2 linked regions of the Drosophila melanogaster genome follow. The protein of the gene in region 1 interacts with the protein of each later gene in a pairwise test. Each region holds a gene or a part of one and is shown on either strand. Other genes may lie near its edges. The genes, in order: CG12594 and CG9864.

Region 1 (9,169 bases):
TGTTCCCATATCCCCATTATATTCTCATATAATGCAACAGTGTCCCGCAATAAATCTCATTAACGAGCACAAAAAAAAAATTGGGGGATCCGAAGGTCCTTCAAGGAGCAGTTCCACATTTTTGAGCTGTTGTTGCCAAGCACTCAATGGTTAGCAATGAAAATGTGTGCCAGGACGTGAGCATCTCGATTTGATTTGATAAGTTAGTTAGTACTTATGCTCGAATTTCAATTGGGTAACCAAGTTAGCTGCCCCATCCAGACAAAGCCAGAGTATCAATATATTTTGAGCTCAAATGGCAACACATCACAGTATTTGTGTGTGCGGACGGAATCCAATCCCATATAAGCTGACGATAAAAAATGGCTCAATTCCTTGCATAAACACAAATGCGAATTTAAATCGAATCGCAAAATTCCGAGGTGGTGAGCAGTTTGCAGCTCCTCGGTGGCAATCCATCATAAACCTGTCAGCCGCAATATGCCAAGTGGTTGCGGCGGTTCGGCAGCCCAACTCCCCCATAACCCTGTTGCACCATATGCCGTATCACATACGCCACATGCCACATGCCAGCCGATGCGTTGATAAGATTATTGTATAAAGATATTCCGCAGAACGCAACACATTTGCATACGGGGGCGCTGGTGCAAAAAGTGGCCTCGAATCGTAGTCGCAGTTGGATTCTATTACATGCCACGGGTCTTGCCGCCGGTTGCACGTTTAAATTGTATTTTGCCGACTGCCATCTGCTCGATGATGCCACGAGCTACAAATTTGCCAGTAAACACACAGTCGAGCGAATCCTGGCAGGCGGAACGCAATTGCTTCGCGCCCTGAAATATTAGCCTCGTTTGCCCGGAGTCGAGTCGAGTCGAGTGCCCTGCTCCTCCTGGTGGGCCCATCTTTATGGCCTCTGATTGCATTTGGCTGCCTTGGTAAAAATCACGTGGGCTATTGAACATTCTGCCCCCGAATTGTCTGCATAAATATTTAAATATTCCCAATATTGCAATCGTTTCTCAACTCAGTTTACGTTGTGAAACTGTAAATGATATGGGCCTTCAGATTTGGGCCTTTTTGTTGCGTCAATTAGGTTCATAGATCTATCGCCATTTCCCTTTGATGAAAATATATATACCCCATTGAGCCTAAAGTTCAAAACTCAATGTCAAGTATTTTAAAGCTTTTCCCACGCTCCAAACCCAACTAAACCAACTTCAAAGCCACACGCGGGCCAATAAAGCAAGGGCCAACTAACCCATACCCATCGAAATATTGACGCCTGGCCTCCTAATTGCTCGGCAAACGCTCACCAATTCATCGCACACCGGATCAGGAAATCGGGGATGTGGGGTAGGAAGAGGGCTTTGGCTTTACCCTCGCCTAAAATAAGTTTTTTTTAGCGCCGACAGCATTCCTTCTTTTTTCTCATCTTTTTTTTTTTTTTTGAAGGACGAAACGGCATCCGCCTCCAATTAGAGTTCTGCTGATTTGGCGCACTTAGCGAGCGGCATGTGTTTGTACGCCTCGCTGCCCGCCGTCCAACGGCCATGTCCTCGTCCTCATCGCCGTCGAGATGGGTGGTGGGCAGTGGGAATAGGAACCCATTAAGATCATGCTCCATTAATTGAGTTCCCATGAAATCGCCCCGGTCCATGTGAATGGCACTTGTTACTGGGGGCCGATTGGGATGGTGTCAAAATTGTGCATGTTCCAAATGGTTTTTGGCCATCCAAACTGCCGACGACTTTCACGCCAACCGCCCCCCCCCCCCTTCCAACACTTCCCTCTTGTCAAATTAAGCTACACTTGCAAAGCGCCAAAAGAATCGTGGGCGGAGGGGAGACGTGGGAGTAGGGATTCTGGGCAAGAAGAATTAAATATGCATGGCTATGTTTTGGAACTCGATTGCCAAGTGGGAGAGTTAGCCGCTTGCCATGGCTCGTAATTGTAATTAGCTTCTGCACAGAGAGAGGCCTCCAAACCGAATTGGATGAACAAAGGATCTGTGGGGCGTGGCAGATTTAGCGATTTTGGGCATTTGGCTGTTCGGGTGTTTGGCCAGTGGGTGCGAAATCAACCAAATTGTCTAAATGGGTTAGCACTGGCGCCGTTTGCCAGATAAAAGGCATAAATAATCAGCACATATTGGGTGTGAATCGGATTCAAGCAGTGTGCGGCGATTCCCTCAACGAATCGAGTTGTGAATGGAATGTTGCGAAATTACATTTGAAACATAGTTTAATGTGTGGAAAGCAATTGCATTTGTGTGGTTTTAATTTCGGTTCATTTCAGACTTACTGCCATTTTACAATTTAAACTACATTTGTGCAACATTCCATTTACTCTGCTCTTTGAAACATTTAAGGCACTTAAGTATTAATTTAAGAATATAAGGAAAACACTCGCTTTCCGAAATAAAGATCTGATAAATATGATTAATTGGCGGAACTCGAAATGTTTTGCGATTAACATCAAAGTTGCCACAAATATTAAGCACTCATTTCTAGCTTTTTCACAGCTTGCTCCTCTTAACTTCTGTTCTCCAAGCTGCCGTTGGCTATAATCCTTGGTCAGTCCGTTCGGTGGAAACTTTTGCCTGAGTCTGGGGACCCAAATGAAGTTTGTGGCCGCACTTAACCAAGCCGCAATAAATCAAAACACCTGGTGGTGGTACTTAAGAGTCATGCCACCCAGGACGACAGGCCAACAATGGTGCGACATGAGCAACAAAACAGATAGCAGCGAAGAAAGTAGAAAGGGATGTTTGGAAAAGGGTAGCGCAACCAAAAAACCCTAGCGTTAAATTAAAAGTTAAAGTCTTAGAAATATGATCATGATTTTTAATAAATCACAAATGTTAACCTCAGACTTACTGTAGATTGTCGAATCTATGATTTCGTCTTTAGTGCAAATATATCCTGTAAATTCGAACATCCTTAGCGAACGAAAATCATTTGAGAAAGGCTAGCAAAGTGCGAAATCAAAACTTTTACGGCCCCACAAAATAAGCCAAATGGCCAAGAAGGCGATAACGCCAGAACAACAATGGCAACAACAGGTGTTCGACACAGATTTCAACACTCACACAGCCGTACGCGCACTCACACACAGACACCAAGCCACCACATAAACGGTAACCGGAAATGAAAACATTGTTGCCTACTTGCAGGCGCAGCTATTTTGAATACTGACTTAGCCTGGCTGAATGCCGCACTTGCCAACTGCATCTAAAAGGGCTAAACAGAAACACACGCTCTACGCACTGTCAAGAAATGAAAAGTGAAAAACTTGCGAGCTGAAAAGTTTGTGACGAAGTTTTTTCTCGCACCTTTCTGCGTGTAGGAACGCTGAATATTCTACCCACAGAATGCAGTTAAAACTTGCAGCCGCAATTCAATTAAAACTTCAATGTTTTGCAAGTACAGCAAGTACATATCCCCGTTAACGTACATACATACACTCGTACTATACAAGAGTGGGGCTCCTTAACGGCTGGGATGACAGCAGCGTGCCAAGTGGCAAGTGCCAAGTGCCTCGGATGGCTTCAAACTTTGTTGTCCCGACCTCAGCTGTCCCGGTGTAAACAAACGCCCTGGAAATGGAAGCGGGCGGTAAATGAGCATTGGCTCAGTGGACCACGGACGGCCAGCAAAACAGCCGGCTTTGTGTTGCGTGTCGAAAGGAGGAAACAAAAATGAAAGAGGGAGTCAGTCCATCAGGATATTATCCGCGCAGGCGCAGGACCCACGGATCCTTGCCAACTATAAAAGCCGCTGTTCTGGCCAAAACCAAAGCAGTTCGTTCGTGGCGCCAGTCCGGAAAATTTCACAAAGCGGAAATACTTGGAAAACCATACTTGGTTTAACTTCAAACTCGAACTCGCTTGTTGATATTACGGCAAAGCTATAAAAACTGTAATTAGTTTGCGCTTGTGGGTTCGCAAAATTTAATCAGCCAGCCATGTGGTGAAAAGTGGGAAATAAATAAACAAACCCTTCGCAAGTGCATAATTACAATGCTAACGAACAAAAGAAACAATATAAACGAAATGCCAATACCGAATAGTTAGTCCAACAAAGTGACCACAAAGCAATCTAGTTTGCGTTGCCAATATAAATCAAATTGAAATCAGATTACAAGCTTAAATAGTTCAATGATTTGGCTTTCGTCGGACGAACAATGGTCACTAGTTATTTGAAGTGAGAAATTTATGCAAAACATCGCAAAATCTAAAATGTATAATTACATTTAACGAATCAACGTGTTTTTATTAAGTGAACCAGTATTAAATAAAATAAATAATTATAATCCGCAGTGTTTGTCTAATAAAAAAAAAAGAAGTGATTATCAATTATCTAGGTAAATACCGCATTAAAGTGTAAATTGGATTTCGATATTGGCAAGAACTTAACAAAGGCCAGTCAAAGGATTTTACCATAGCCAAATATCAAAGGAGCACATCACGTAATTATATTAAATTTCAAATGGTATCCCGGTGCTCCACGCACTGCCAACCGAGCGACCAGCTCCAAATATTTCCAGCTTACTTGTGGCCGCCTTTGGAGTCGGAGATTGATTCATGTTAAGGTCCCTCTGTGTTGGGTCTGCCACATGTGTGCGAGTCCTAGATCGTGTGGCATGCTGCTTAATTGCAGAGCAACCTCATCGCATCAGGCTCGCTTTGAGCCATTCCACAGCCACAATTTCATATTGTTACAAAATTGCATTGTTAATGGCCGTTGGCAACCCTCGACTGGCAACTGCTAACTGGCAACTGACAGTCGCTTCAAATGGGTTAAAGTGGTCCGCACCCACCAGGGGGGAATGGCAAATCCGTGGAAGTATGATATATATATATATATATATGTATGTATGTATTTAGGGGGCTTTGCCCATTTACATACCACACCATTGGTTAATGTGCAGCCCTTTATAATGGGGCAACTAACTTTTTGCTCTGTCAGCGCAAAATATCTGCGGTTATCTCGGCACCAGCGAATTTCTTTTGCACTTGCAATAAAAATAATCCCAGCATAGATAATGGATAATGGGGCGACCCGGAGCCAATGATTAGGACTCTCAATGTTCGAATAGGAGGCATGGGGGTGAACCTAACTTGGCCTGTTAAATCCATTTAACATCCTCATCGACGACCTCTGGGGTTTTGATAACCCTTTACTTCCACCAAGCCGCTTCCACTTCCACTTCCGCAACAATAACAATAACAGCAGGCAACAAGAACTGAGGCGCTCTTATGCCCATTAAGTGGCATTATAATTACAATTTGCACCGAGGGCCAGCAACCATGGAGACTGGCAGCTGAACTGGGAGCGGAAACGAAGGCCGACCCCGGCGATAAAGTTCCCATTCGAGGGGCTCATTAAGCTGGAAGGGATGGGGCCACTTAAGTCGGGCGGGTTAACGTTTAACTGCTGACGCCAGTCCGCTGGATTGACAGTACTCGTATTTGCCGAGCAGTCTAATCAGAGCCGGCCCAATTAGCAAATACGCTTAGCAAATAATCCGCAAGGATTTTAATTAATTGGACTGATGAAACGTACCCGTCGACTTACGTCGATGATCGGGCCCACTGCAGGTATCTACATTTTATCTCGTTCTTATGCGACGAACAGGCCCCGTAAACCGTGTGATATACAGTATACGAGTATAGTACGCTCGCCTGTTGTTGGCTGAAATTCGGATTTTCAAATTAATTGTGCGCATAAATTTCCCGGGGAGCCGGAGCTCCATGGCCATATCCTTCCTCATCCGCATCCGGAGCCAGAGCCAGAGCGAAAACCGGAGACGGCAACCTTTCGGCTTTGTTTTTGGGGCCAGAGCTGGCAATAAATTCACTTTCGTCTCAAATGAGTTTGCATAATTCAAATACCGAAAATTGAAATATATTCCCGGCAAATATTTGTTTAGTTATAAAGTGAATCTACCCCAATTTGTTATGATTTAAGCGTGCATCGAGATTAAGTCGCTTGGTTAATTGAGACGGGATTAACGTGAAAAATCGGTGGAATACAAATACTTTTTCCGCATAGCAATGGTTCGCAATCAATAAGCTCGGAATTTAATATAGCCACGGCGGAGGAGCTTAGGGCTGAGTGAAATTCCTGGGCATGAATGGCGTGTTCGTGGGAATAAAAGTTCAGCCAGCCTGAAACACGAACTCCGACTGCAAGTGATTTACATATTAGGACCTGCTGGAATTAAGTATCTCGAAGATAGCGCGTGGCAGATAAAACTATTTAAGCACTACACGCATACAATTCCAGCAGGATCTAGCTAATGGCTGGGAAGATTACGCATACGCCCCGTTGCGTATACGAATACGGATGCGGATTCGTCCCTGGGCTGGAAACACTATAAAATTAATTTTAAGACACTTGAAGCTTAATCATTCGCACAGATAAAAGGCGACAGTTGTCCCCGAGGATAATTGCGTATGCGTGTGGAACGGTTTGGGCCTTCAGTCAGTCGGTTTGATTCCTTCGAGGGTCCTATGGGTTCCTTTTTGTGCGATGCCTGGCACTCACGGCATAATTTGGGTACAAAATATTTCCGCCAGTCCCTGACCCAAAAAAAAAAGGGACACAAGCGAGGATACCCCCGCCACTTGTGGAAGTTTGGCCAAACGTGCTGGGCTTTCAAACTTGCCCAGTCGACCGAGGGGGTGGCTATCAGTTATACGAGTCCTCGGGGATCCACTCTTGTTAAACTCGCATCCCGCTGCTCACATTGTTGTCAGGCGGCAGGGACCACTCGAAACATGTCGGAGATTTGCGTGAGCCAACTGCCTTTTGATATTCAATCATCTCGAGCGACGGGCATCCAATAATAGCAACAATATGCACACGCAGAAAATAGGGAAAATACATTTTTCGGGACGGTATATCCAGAGTTCATAATTTTTATTCACTGTGTTATCAAAGGATTCTTTGGTGTATCTGCTCAATCTTAGTACATCACTAAAGTATCCACTTAAACAGACCCATTCTTATTTAAGTATATTCCTTTACGTAATCAAAGTTATGAAATAAATCAAATTGTTGTTTTCATATAGGTAGAAATAGTACATATTTTTTTAAGTGTATATTTGCACACATGGGTTGCTTGACTTTTAGCCGGCCTTCAATTTGTTCATAATAATGTCCGCCTATTTTTGAAGTGTCACAGCGTGGGCGGAAACATTGTATTTTGATGTTTCCTTTTTCCTGCCTTCAAAAGGAAATTGAAATCGATGTGTGGATGGGATTTACCCTCATCCTCGAAATCTCCTCCAAAAGAACTCGTCACAATTCAAGTAATGAGAACCATAAAGGCGGAAGACAATACTAATTTTCGTTAATGCGATGGGATGTCCGAGAATTTCCCCAATGGACCACAGAATCGCGGCGAAGTTCGTTAAATATGCATTCGGCTTAGCCGTTGGACTTTTCCGACTGATTTATGTATATATGTACGTGCCTTGCCGCTTGGCTCACCTTGGCCAAGTCGATTTGGAATTCAAAAGCTTTTAACAGATTGTCGCTGGCAGTAACTTTGCCAATTTGCAAAAGTTCAACTGAGCAGCAACGAGAGCAAAACAAAATGGATTAAGGGCAATAAAGGCGGAGTAAAAACAATAACAATTACACTGATTGCCGCCCCCGGAGAATACGATGAATGTTGAGTGACGACCTGCCGGTCAGTCGAACGGAAACGGAAATGGTAGTGAAATGGGTAGTGGAAAGGGTAGTGGAATGGGTAGTGGAATTGGTAGTGAAATTGGTAGTGCAAGCGGTACGGAACTGTTAACTCGTTCGCTCGCCTACATTTTTCTGGGCCAACCGATAGACGAACAACCATGGCCATAAAACAATTGAGGTCTCAATTTTGCACAACCCGACGCACATTTGCATTCGTTTCCGAATTGGCGCGTGTTGTACATTTTCCATTTCGCACTGGGACCGCAGGACACCAAGGATGCGACCCGGTTGCGCTGAAAAATCGGAGCGCAGCTTTTGTTAGCCCCTGGAAGTGCACATTTATCTACAGAAAATGTTTTGCCGCTGGCCCTTTTGTGCGTAAAAATTCTATTTGATTGCACGTTTATGTTGTGGATTTAACTTTTAGTCCCCTTTTGCCAACTCCACCGGGCACTGAATCTTCCACTGGTTACTCCAATGGCCATTGTTTGCCCAGCCAGTATGCTGCAGAAGTCCTTAATCCAGATATTTATTTCCTGCACCAGGATATGAAAGCGAATGCAACGACTTTGATGGCCCCAAACCCCAGCATCCTGTGATCCTGCACCGCCTGAAGTAATCTTGGTCCTTAAGCTTCTTGTTACCAAAAGAACCTTTTATGGCCGCTATAAATTCTCGTAAATTTTGTGTTCCTGAGAGGAAGTACAGGTGGCCAAGAATAGCTATTATACCTTAAATAAATCTAAAATCAAATGAATTAGCTTGCTACAAAATGCAAGTAGGAAATACTTCATTGTAAAGTACATTAACGATTTAAGATTTTTTTAGTAGGAAGCTTGTATTTTATTATTTTCAATAATTTGTTTAAGTAAAACTCAGATAAGTTACCACAAACTGTAAACTGAAAACATCTTTCATTCAGTTTCTTTAAAGAGCATATTGCAAAATCACTTTGATAAAAGTTGCAACATTAATACAAATATACTCCCTTTGACAACAATTGTCGAATAAAAATTACAAAACACATGCAAATCTGTGACATTGAAAGAAAATCGTGCATATATGAATTCGACCCTTTGCAAAAGCTTCCTTGGGGAAACTAAAATAGACTTCCATAGGTACAGATAGCGATATAACATTTTATATAAATCATAGCAGAATGTAGCCACTGCAACCTGCAGCTATTATCATGCAAAACCCGGCACCATTATTTGAATAGAATTGAAGATTCGGTTGACGGGCTGGGGCTGGAGGGGTCCTTTTGTCCTTTTTGTCCTTTGGCAATGCCACCTCAATCAAGCTCTTTTTACCCATCTTTCCGCAGGCCAACGATGAATGCAGGTGCTGTGTGAAAGTGCCTCTGTTCCTGGAGAGGGACGGATCCAAGTTGAATCAAAGCCGGAACGTGACTTTTGCCGAAAGTAAATTGAGCCACCGCAGCGATAAAAGCTGCCATGCCAACCGGCGAG
Region 2 (11,858 bases), on another chromosome or scaffold:
TAAATGACAGGTATGCACGCGTATCAGCTGGACTGCCGGGACTATCAGGACCTCATCGATCGCGGCTGGCGGCGGTGCGGCTACTACTGCTACAAGCTGCGCAACCAGGAGACCTGCTGCCCCTGCTACACAATCAAATGTAATGGCCTGGAGTTCAAGCTCTCCAAGTCGAACAAGCGCATACTTCGCCGCATAAATCGATTTTTGCGCGACGGCAAGCGAGAGTCCAAACCGGAAGCCGGCGACGGTGACGGGGAAGCCGATGCCGATTACGCCATAGTGGCTCCCGAGGTCACGGCCAGCGAACCGCAACCCCAGCTGCCAGATAAGAGTCCCCCTGTTATCAATGTCGAGCAAGTTGCATCACTGGCAACGGCTCAGAGGAAGCCGACGAAGCAGGCAACTGCTGCCGCGGTGGAAGCTCCTACGTTGGGGTCCAACAAATGTGCGTATGCTCCTTAATGCCTTAATGCCACAGTAATATATATATTATTTATTATATTAGCATCACTCTTATCTTCATCAGCCGCAGCACCGATCTCAAACAAGCCGTGCAAGAAGGCCAAGCAGATGCGATTGGATCGACGGCTGGCCAAGCTGGGAGACTCGGCCTCCTACTCAACGAAATCCCTTACCCAGGAAAAGACACTTCGCGACTTCTTGAACACGGACAGCGAGACAAACAAACATCGGCTAAAGGTGCGTTGCGAATAAATGTGGATAGAATAATTAGTTAGACCGTTTGCAAAACTAAGCTGGATAGCGTGAACCTATGTACATATGTTGATAAGGGTTTACACTGTATATTGCGCCTATGTGTTTCCTGTGTCCGTTCCCCGAGTATAAGTCTCCCGCTACATGTAGACACATCTGTCTTTGTGCTGTTTGTGTTCTTGCAGATCGTGTTAGTCGCTTCCTCAGACACAGAGCGCACTTGTGCCGATGCAGTGATCGCGTTGTATCGCAAATACCAAATAACCGTTCATAATGATAACCCCGCACGCCTCACCCTAGCTAGTATGCAGCGGTTCTTGGTCAAATCGCCTCTTAAGGTAATTATAAACGAGTATTCATCTTTGCCCCAAAAATGTATTCGCAGCTGCGCTTAATTCACGTCTACGACGACGAGTTCCGGCGGACCCTGCCCCAGAGTTTTGCGCTCTATAAGAAGTATCAGATATCGATACATAATGATCCGCCAAAGGATCAGGACGCGTACAAGGAGCATCTGCAGGCGACTCCCCTACAGGTTTTTCTCTATAATAATTCATACATTTAAAAGCTTTACTTCTAACCTCATAATTCCGGGACGTTTTTGCTTGCAGAATGAGAAACCCTGGGATGGTCCCGAAATGGGCTACGGTTCGTTTCATCAGCAGTACTGGCTGGACGACAAGTTGATTGCCGTCGGCGTGATTGACATTCTGCCGGGTTGTGTAAGCTCGGTGTACTTTTTCTACGATCCGGACTATAGCTTTTTATCGCTTGGCACATATGGTTCACTCAGGTAAAGCAAGATTCCGAGCAAAGAAAGATAAAACTGCATAGAAGAAATTCTTACAGGGAAATTGAATTGGTGCAGTCGCTCGCCGAGAAGGTGCCTTCTCTCAAGTATTACTATATGGGTTTCTACATACACTCCTGTCCCAAAATGCGCTACAAGGGCAAGTTGTCCCCCTCTTACTTGCTGTGCCCGGAGACCTATGAATGGCTACCGCTCACCGATGGTAAGTTTGCGATTTTCTTGTTAATATTCTGTACTAATAACAAACACGTATATATTCAGTTATTCGTGCTAAGCTAGACGAACATAAATACCAGCGCTTAAACGAAGATCCTGCAGCTAGGGATGTGAATGAGTTTTTGATGGAGCATTTGGACGAAGTTAAGCTGCTCTTGGGTGGAAGAACCCGCACAGACTACAAGCACTTTAGGCAGGCATGTTTATTATCATTAACATCAGTGGTTCATAATCTAATATACGTTTTATTTACAGCTGCGTGGGACCGTCTCCGATGACGATATCATTATTGAGTACAGCAAGCTCGTGGGAAAAGAGTGTGCTCGGCGCATGCTATACGTGAAGTAAAGTTGCCATTATTTGAATTTTGAATTAAATGCCGTTCGCAATAGCAATATGTTGAAAATATAAAATATTTTAATAATTCCACCGGTCTTGCACCCAATATAGTTGTAATCATTAGCAGACACTTGATTACCCCTTGTTGTTTGCCTACACCAGGTAAGCGCCACTGTTGGAATGTAAAGAATAATATGCTCGTCATTCGTACATATTTTTCTGAAAAGCTGACAGCTTTCCACTCATAATCGCCTCTTATCAGAAACAAGCAGCTAAATGCATCAATTAAGCTTTATGGGCTGGCAACATTCTGTGTTGGTACAAGTCGGATAACCGCTGGAGATAATGTACTTTATAAGCCACTCCAGGGTGAGATAGTTGGCCAGGAAGCCAATTGTTGCCGTGAAATCAAGTCGTTTACAGCAGTGGAACAAGTCGGATGTGTCCAAAGGGTTCGGATTACCAACTGTCTACGCTGGAAAGAGTGTTCTTGCCCAAGGTGAGGAGTGTGAGAAGTTATTTGCGTCTGAAGACGAGCGCTTAATTATAAATAAACTTGTGTCAATAATATCTGTTCTGCTCTGGCTTTTCACCGGCATTCGCCAAGTGCGCTAATTAAACAAAAATTAAATTATAAAACAACGGTCAAGTAAGTTTTTACAGCACGTGTATTTTATGGTGATATTTTTTTTTCCAAATTTATGAATACTATCATTCGCCAGTTTGGGTTGGGATTTACCAAACAAATTAGTAATATGAATATCGGGGTGGTAATATTTTTGAATTATTAGTCACCGTGTTTATTGGCTTACATTTTAGCACAATTTTGTGAGATTTGTTGTTAACAAATTTCTCGGCACATTTTCGTTGCGCCAATCGCATGCGATTTTTGGCACGCTATCAGAAAGCGTTAAAAAAAGGCAGTTCGACGTTGAGCTTCAACCGACGGCAGCAATTTAAACAATTTTTAACCGTTTTAACCGGTGCTGCCGCCGCTGAAAACGAGACTGCGACTGCGGCAGGTGGAAGTTTTGCTTAAATCGTCGCCCCAAGTAGATGTATATATGCCATTGGCAACCGCCGATTTAGCTTCATTCGCCGCGCGACGTTCTCAGCAGTCCGTTTCGCCCGCTGAGCAGCTCCTAGACAACAAGTGGCAGCCACAAAAAGTGAGTTCGGCGCAGCCTAGCCTATCTATTTCCCCCACGCATTTCGACGAGAAAGTCCAGTTTTCTTTGGGCAGTTAAAAAAAAAAAACAGAAGCAGAAAACAGAAATTGCTGCAGCTGCGTGCAGATCAGATGTTTCCCATCCATATTAATCCGATATTATTGTTTTGGGCTTCGTGGTAAAATTCCATGCAAAATTGGTGCCACGAAGAAGTGCGAGCGCAGATAAGCGGAGATGACTTTGAGTGTTTTGTGATCGCGAGTGGCTTGTGTCTGTGTGTGGGGTCTAGTCTAGACCATGATCTATTGCAAATTTTCCATAACGAATTGATGCGAAGAAATCTGCTGAGACAGGCCCCCCTTTTCATATTATATTTGAATGTTTGGCTGTATAAATAGGAACATTCAGAGTGGGATGTCTTGGAAGAGAGAAATCGAAATCGAATCGTATCGGAATGCCAGCTTAATTAGGCTTTGACCGTTTTATTTTCAGTTACCCGAAAATTTGCATTCCAAATAATAACAGGTTTCGTTATTTTGATTCATTGAACCGCGACCACCGACCCCACCGACCACCATTCCCAGCAATTTCAATTTGATATCGCTACTTCCACCACGACTTGGCAACAAGTTGGTCCACTGTCATCTCGAGTGGTTGCAGCTCATTTGGCTCAGGATTAGAGACTTTGGACCCAGGCTGGACAGGTTGATCAAAAGAAGTCTCTAGCTTGTGCAGATACAGGTTTGGATCTACGCAAAAGATTCATTGGGTATTTGTTTTTTTTATGCAACTCTATTCGAAACGTTCGCTTGGCGAACCTTTTTAGTTTTGTGAATAACAAATATTCACACTCGTGATTTTCTATTAGCATGTGCGTGCAATATTCGCAATTGTCGCATTGATTTGGACAGGCATTTACTACAATCATTGCTAGTTTCATGCGCCACGTAATTTTCCGAAATTTAATTATAACGTGCAAAAATGCAAAACTAAAACAAAAGAAATGAAAAAAAAACAAAACACAAATTATATGATTTCAATGGGAATTGGTGCAAAATGGCAGTTCAGTTCGCCCCAGTGAGGCTATGAGAACCCAATTTAAGCAAATACAATGTTCCACAACAATAACTGACAAGCGAAGTGGGTTCATTACCGATCTTGATTTGTGTTAGCCAGTTACGCCTGATTGCCGCTAAAATAACCAGCAGAGTTCTATGCCAGAATCGAACTCCACTCCATACGATACCATTTTCGATGGGCATGTTGGAACTGGAGGATACCGAGAAAAGGGCGAAGACAGACGAGACCAACCTTAAATCGTGCCAACTGGGTAGCCAGCCAGCAGAGAGTCTTATGTAAATGGAACGCGTGTTATGAATACCCGCGAATACGACTACTCGGTTGCTTCATCTTCGGATTCGTGGCTGACCTGCATATATAGAGATATACATATGTATATCGCTCATATTGGATCCTTCGAATCGAGCGCTCTCCGATCGTAAATCAAATCATTTAACGTGGTAAACACACAGGCTAATTGCCGATTAACCTGACTCTAATGATGGTCGTTCGCCAGTTGATATAGCCAACTAACTTATCACGACCATGCCAATGTGCTATAAAACACCTCTTTATGGCCATCATAAATTGCCGAGCTGATTTTATAAAGTCAATGGCGAGGATGTTGATAAGGGCGTAACTCCGTAGATTAGAACGAGAAGCTGGCGCTAACTTAATGGCCCATATATGTATAGTCAAAATATAGGCAAAAACCCAGAGAAACAAAACCTAATGATTTGTTTGGGCTTTCAGCAGTTTATCGGGTATCCAGATCGCTGTAACATCATTCCCTGCAATTAGTCAGAAGTACGGCCAAAATGAATGCCCAAGGTCATTAGTCGCGTTCTTTGATCTCTGGGCAAAGGTATAATTAAAAGATTTCAATACACGTATTGCACATCAATAATTCCCCATCAACTTGTTCCCACTATTCTGCCAAATTAGTTTGCTCAAAATCATCTACGAGTGTTCGCAGTCAACTCACGTAATTAAAACCATATGCAATCATAAAACCAAATGCCACAAAGGGTTAGATGGCCTTTGGTCTTGGCTCTTTTTATTTTTGCCATAATCCAGTTTGTGGTCTAGTCCACAGGAAGAAAAACCCGTCCATAAATGGAGTTTTATGCATAGAAAGGGAGCTATTTTTACTGCTGCCGTTGGCTCCATTCAGGTAACTTAAGATTGCTTATCACAGCGTGCGTAAAGCAGGTATATGTACTATATTTATGGCCACTTTCTCAGTAAGACCTTTAATCGGATTTCATGATTTAGTACGTGTTTAGTACGGGAAGTCGATCCAATTGGGCACTTGCATTTTCAATTTTGGCCGGCTATCTAGGGCGATCATTAAGCTATCCAAGCAACAAGTGTTCGATCTCAATATAATTCTTAATTAAACGCCAGTGTGTCTTTATGAATAGCAGTCGCGCACAAACATATCAGTTTTTTTTGTTTGTTTGTTTGTGCGAAATGCAGCGAGGGCAGCTGTTTAAATGATCCAACTACCAGAACATTACTTCCCTTACATCTAAGCCATATTATCGCAAGATCATATCCCATAGATAGTTAGAATGGTTAGATTGGAAAATGGACATAGCATGCCACGGGTCAATTATTGTCAATGTTGCTTCATCACTGCCGCAAAACTCTGACGTCGCCAATGCCATTCGACACTTTCGTGGCACGAAATTAAATTGGCGACGAAAGTGTTTAAATTTGATTTAGTTATGCATTTTGATTTGACTAAACGGGGCACTCACGTGCCGGTTTTCGAGTGCCGAGCGGTACGTGCTTATAAAATTTCAACAAGTGCATTGCACGCAGATAATGCCAAAAAGCACTCTCGACCGATATGAAAAATGCGCAAAAAAATTCACGGCTAATTCTAAATAGACCGTTACACGTGCAAGTTAACAACAATCGCGGCTATCACATTCGAAATAGAGCTGAATTAATGGATGTCGCTTATTTACTATATAACAATGTTAACAGATTGTTGAAGTTATCTGGTTGTTGCATTTAATGAACGGAAATGTGTATTTGAACTTATATTAAATTGTATCTTTATTGTCAGTTAGATGACAGTGCTAACTAAGCAGCCGATTAAGTTATCTGTTTTTTTAGATGAAATAAGTTTTTCAGCCAAAAAAGCAAGTTTTCAAGTTTTCAGTAAGTTTGCAAGCATTTATAATAATTTAGAGCTGCAAATATAGTACTTACTTAATAATAGTGATAAATTGCTTTTTAAAAACCATTATTCATTTCCTTAACCTAATAGAGCAAAAACAAATTAAAAGCAAATCAATAATGAGTTTGGACAACGGGTATCCGAAACGTATATGTACATTTATTAAAATTGATCTAGTGTTTCCGAAAATAGCCCTGAATGATTCGGCATTTTTAGCCTCAATAATTTAATTCAATAAATTCACAAATATTTTGCATTTTAGCGAATGTGTGGGGAAATACCCGCACTCGTTTGTACGTAAAGTGATCTGCATCCGAAGATGTGGCTAACCAACCGATTCCTGTTGTTTTCTTCGTTTTTCAGCTGACAAGCGACGCGAGGCTACGGAGCCATAACAAAAGCCGCCGAAATGGCCTTCATGCCGTGCTGTAAGTACCCAAATATATTATGGCCACACGCTCGGAATTGTCGTCAATAAGGCCTCACGTGATGATCTTCGATCGGAGCACCGACATCCCCGAAATCCCCGACATGATATCCATCACAAATATTGAAATTTGCGCATGCGCAGCCCATTAGAAATCTGTGACCCGTCCCCAAAAAAAAACGGGAATGGGGAGATCTTTTCGATCCGCTAATTGATCTAACGTGTTGCGAGGGGCCTGCCTGTACCTCTATTCATAAATTGAATAACGATCCGTTGGTCAATAATCAATATTTGCTGTCGTTCGCAGTCTATGTGCCCAAGCGGATTAACCTGGCGATCATGCTCTTCATGGCCTGCCTCCTCAGCTACATGATGCGAGTGAATCTCTCGATCAACATCATCGCCATGGTGGAGGACACGAGCAGCCACGAGAATGGAACGGAGGTGGAGGCACTGCCCGATGTGAGTTTAATCAATGGGAATCAGGATACTAGGGATTATCCTCTATCGATTCTATCTAATCCATTTTGTTTTTTGGCATATTCCACTTAGTATGGACCGCGCTACAACTGGACGCAATCGGATCAGGCTCTGCTGCTGGGTGCCTATTTCTATGGCTATATGATCACCTCACTGCCCGCCGGCACTTTGGCCGAGATGCTGGGAGCCAGAAATGTGGCAGGTTACAGTTGCCTGGTGGCCGGCATCCTGACAGCTCTAACTCCGGCGGCAGCTGCCTGGGACAAATATGCGGTGTTTGCCGTGCGTTTCTTGATCGGCTTCCTCAACGGTGTCGTGTATCCGTGTTGCCACAGCCTTGTTTCCAAGTGGTCGCCTCCGGATGAGAAGGGCAAGTTTGTGGCCTCGCTGATGGGTGGCACTTTTGGCACCGTCATCACATGGCCCATTAGCGGTGTGATCATCGAGAATCTGGGCTGGGATTGGGCCTTCTACATTGTGGGCATATTCGTGCTGGTGGTGGTCGCTATATGGTTCTACCTTGTGGCAGATACTCCTGCCCAGCACAGTACGATCAGTCTGAAGGAGCGGGAGTATATCGAAAGCAGCTTGGGCGACACTCTGAGCAACAAGAAGGTATGTTGGTCCATAAAAAGCAACTAGGACTTATTTACACATTTGTTGCAACCTTTGTAGAAGTGGCCACCATACAAGGAGCTCGTCCTGTCGCTGCCCTTCTGGTCGCTCATGATGCTCCACTACGGCAGCATGTGGGGTCTGTTCTTCCTGATTACCGCCACGCCCAAGTTCTTGAGCGAGGTCCTGGGCTTCAATCTCTCGTCCGCTGGCTTCCTGTCCAGCCTGCCACATGTGGCACGTCTGCTCTGCGCCTTCGGTTTTGGCGCCGTGGCGGATTGGATACGTCGACGTGGCTGGTTGTCGGTGACCCGCATGCGCAAGGCCTTCTGCCTGCCCTGTAAGTGTGCCTATATTATTCTACATTTGATTATACTATAGCCATACGATTTAACTTTGATTAGCTCACATCTTGCCCGGCGTCATGCTGATCATCCTGGCCTACTTTGGTCGCGATCCCTATGTGTGCGTTGCCATTATGACCATTTCGCTGGGCTTCAACGGAGCTGCCACCGCCTCCAATTTGGCCAACTCACAGGATCTGGCGCCCAACTATGCGGGCACGCTGTACGGCATCATTAACTGTGTTGGCACCACGCCCGGAATCTTTTCGCCTCTGATTGTGGCCGCCTTTACAAAGAACGAGGTTTGTGGCGATTCTCTAGAAATCCCGAATATCCATCCCATTCATGAATTTTCCATACTCCATAGAACACAATCGATCAGTGGCACTGGGTGTTTATCATTGGAGCCGCTGCCTACATATTGCCTGCGCTGTTTTTCTGGGTCTTCGGATCGGGTAAAATCCAGAAGTGGAACGAGGTTCAGACCACCGAGTCGCGAGAGGATATTGTCAACACAAAGTTGTAGTTTGTGCCCTGGCAATCACCTGTGATTATGTACTTTAAGTATTATGCCATAACGACGATGTGTACTTCTTTATGGAGAGAGTCCTATTAAAACTTTAGCCGTGTATTTATTATTAACCAATATGGTTTCATTTCGCGCACGTGAATTCTGAATCACGAGTCAGTTGAGATCGAAACCAGTTTCTCTTAGATTGGCATAACGACCTTAACCTGGTCGGGGAATATACTCTGGCGAACTGGTTGGGGGCTCTTTGCAGAGTTTGTTTGCTGATTAGGAACTCATGGTTGAAGAAACGGAATTGACACCCGTAATTAGTCAAATGCTAATCAAATTTGAGGACACTTTTAGCCAACAAATTGCCGTTTTTAATTGCGTATTAACGTCATGCCCAACAAGTTGATAGTAGGTTAGCGGCGAAGTCAAAAACGCAATTTATAAGGTGTGAAAATTCATTTTAAAATCAAAATTAAAAGATTTAGTCATAGAAATTGAGGGAAATACCAGTTACTCAAAATATTTATTATATCCACACATCTCAGAGTATTATAATTAATGGTTATAGTGTACAAGTTAATTAATTCGACCAATAAACTTTTAGAATAGTTAACATACGGCTAATGGTCACAAGTTAGTCACTCCATTAACCTATAATTAGCACCCATTATTCCAGGCATTAAGGACACTAGCCTGGCCTATAAAAGCAAGGAAGTTGAGCACCAGCTGCAGACAGTACAAAATGATAGAATCGGGAAAGTGGCCAACGCCAGGAAAAAAGAACTCCAAAGGCGATGGGAGCAGAAAGCGTGGAAAGGATCCAAGTTTGATTAGGACAGCCATATTGGCCACTTTCTGGGAGTACACGGAGCGGACCAAGGTGAGCGGCATGTGGCTTATGCGTCGGAATCGTACCTACGGTCTGTCCCGGTTCATCTGGTCCTCGGTACTGCTGCAGTTGCTCCTGCTGAGCATCTACCTCACCCTGCTGCTGTGGCTGAAGTTCTACTCCTACCCCATTCTAAACACCATCTCCAATGATCTTTCCATCACGGATGTCGCATTTCCGGGCGTTACCATCTGCAGTCCGAAGGTGGTCAACTCGGAGCGGGTCGATCGATATGTCAAGACGCTGTAAGGAGCTCGGAAGTAAGCTTAGAATAACCACTAAAAGTTTTCCTTCCCTTAAAGTAAAATTCCCAAGGAGTACGACATGGCAGAGGTGATCGCTGGATTTGATTTCCTTAACGCCTTCACGGATCAGAGCTTTGAGCCGCCGGGACACGATAGCTATCGGGCCACCGATGCCGTTCTTCGGCTGAACAACGTGTCCATCTGGGAGGCGGCCATGGCCGTCAGTCCGGGTTGCTTCGATTACGTGAAGCGCTGCTTCTGGGGCCACACGGAGTTTCAGTGCAACCAGAGCCACGAGTACCTATCGTTCATTCCCACCACTGCGTATCTGGGACCCTGTTGTTCCTTCAACTATAATCCCAGGAACGCCAGCTTCGTGCCCTTCTCGGCCAACATTTTTGGGATGGATGGCGGACTGACCTTCGTGGGTGCGGAGGGCAGCGAGCGGAACTTAAACACTGGCCTGATAGTACTGGTTCACCATCCCATGGACTACGTGACTGAGGCTGCTGCCTCGGTGACCATTACCGCTCAATCCGAAAGCTTTGTGGAGGTATCGCCCACGGTGCAGAGCTCCTCGGTGGAGGTGCTGGAACTTTCGGAACGTAAGAGGGACTGCCTCATCTCGGGCGACCTGCAGCTGAGCAACTATCGCCAGGCCGCCTGCCTTCTCGCCTGCCAGACGGAGGCCATCGTCAAGAAGTGCGGCTGCCATCCGTATCTGCTGCCCATCGTGGGCAACAAGTTCAAGGAGTGCAATCTAAACGACACCTTCTGCTATTCTGCCAACTATGGTGGGTATGGTTTAGGGCTTAGTGGTTTTAAAGAGGGGTTCCTTAATATAAAGGGGTTACCTTTCTATCTGGGTAGATAACTTCAAAAGTGTGCGCTGTGATCAGTGCCTGCCCAATTGCTATGATGTCACCTACTCCACGCTGTCCTACAAAACCGATCTCAACCAGCATAAGTACTCAGTCAGCCGCTTCTAGTAAGTAATAATATGGATAACTTAATGGGTTATTGACTGGTTTTTATTCCACAGCTCTCCGGAATTGCTTAACAACGACAGTTTTGTGCTCCGGGTCTATTTGGCCAAACAAGTGGTTCCAGTTATCCGGAAAGTGACTGTTATGTCTTGGATAGGACTATTATGTGAGTGGATAAGCCGTCTCAAAGATGAAATATTTTAATTGCACTCATTTCAGCGGATTTGGGTGGCATCTTTAACCTCTGCCTCGGACTAAGTATGATTTCAGTAGTTGAGTTCTTTTACTATTGCACATATCGCTTATACATAAACTATCAACTGCAGAAGGTTCAGCAACCCAGAAAGGCATGGCAATAAAGCAAATACAAAAAAAAAGAAATTATGGTATCTTAGAAAAAATTTCGAACATAGGCGGGAAATTAGAAATTATCGATAAAAGGGCTGTCGCATCGATAACGAGCTGGTATGTCAATGTTGGTATTCTTTCACAACTGATTTTTACACACGTTTGGTATATGGGGTTAGTAGAGATGAGAGTGTTTCAAATATCAGCAATGTTAAAAAAATCACTGGCATTTTATCTTTCTGACGAAATGATTCGAGCTTTGCAGTTACCTTTCAGAATTTGCTCGCATAATTAAAAGTATGTTTCCTTTCAATGACTATCGCATAAGTATACACTGACTGTGCGCATCGATAGCCACAACAATCGCTGTGCGGGGGGTAGGAAATCATCGATACCAATGCATCGATAGCGGTCACCGCTTCTGTTGGACTCTACATTTTAATTTGTTTAACAAATTCTTGGGCCAGTACGCAAGAAAACGCGGCGGCGTAAATTACATTTTTAG

Evidence for each region.
Region 2: the proteins of CG12594 (region 1) and CG9864 interact in a two-hybrid assay, tested with the Drosophila melanogaster proteins (one large-scale study listed by BioGRID).

What each region holds. Positions count from the first base shown.
Region 1 is NT_033777.3:11,717,991-11,727,159, forward strand, and holds the start of CG12594 (uncharacterized protein), read left to right. Parts: upstream 1-3,743; 5' UTR 3,744-4,362; exon of another isoform or gene 4,363-4,467; intron 4,468-9,024; 5' UTR 9,025-9,169.
Region 2 is NT_033778.4:20,245,277-20,257,134, reverse strand, and holds CG9864 (uncharacterized protein), read left to right. Parts: upstream 1-2,464; 5' UTR 2,465-2,579; intron 2,580-3,169; exon of another isoform or gene 3,170-3,249; intron 3,250-6,862; 5' UTR 6,863-6,908; coding exon 6,909-6,927; intron 6,928-7,233; coding exon 7,234-7,388; intron 7,389-7,478; coding exon 7,479-8,021; intron 8,022-8,081; coding exon 8,082-8,361; intron 8,362-8,425; coding exon 8,426-8,667; intron 8,668-8,732; coding exon 8,733-8,891; 3' UTR 8,892-9,005; downstream 9,006-11,858. Other genes in the region: Ate1 (arginyltransferase 1), read left to right, coding at 11-445, 506-699, 900-1,052, 1,326-1,507, 1,564-1,727, 1,787-1,938, 1,997-2,089; ppk6 (pickpocket 6), read left to right, coding at 9,628-10,019, 10,077-10,813, 10,890-11,007, 11,062-11,171, 11,225-11,364.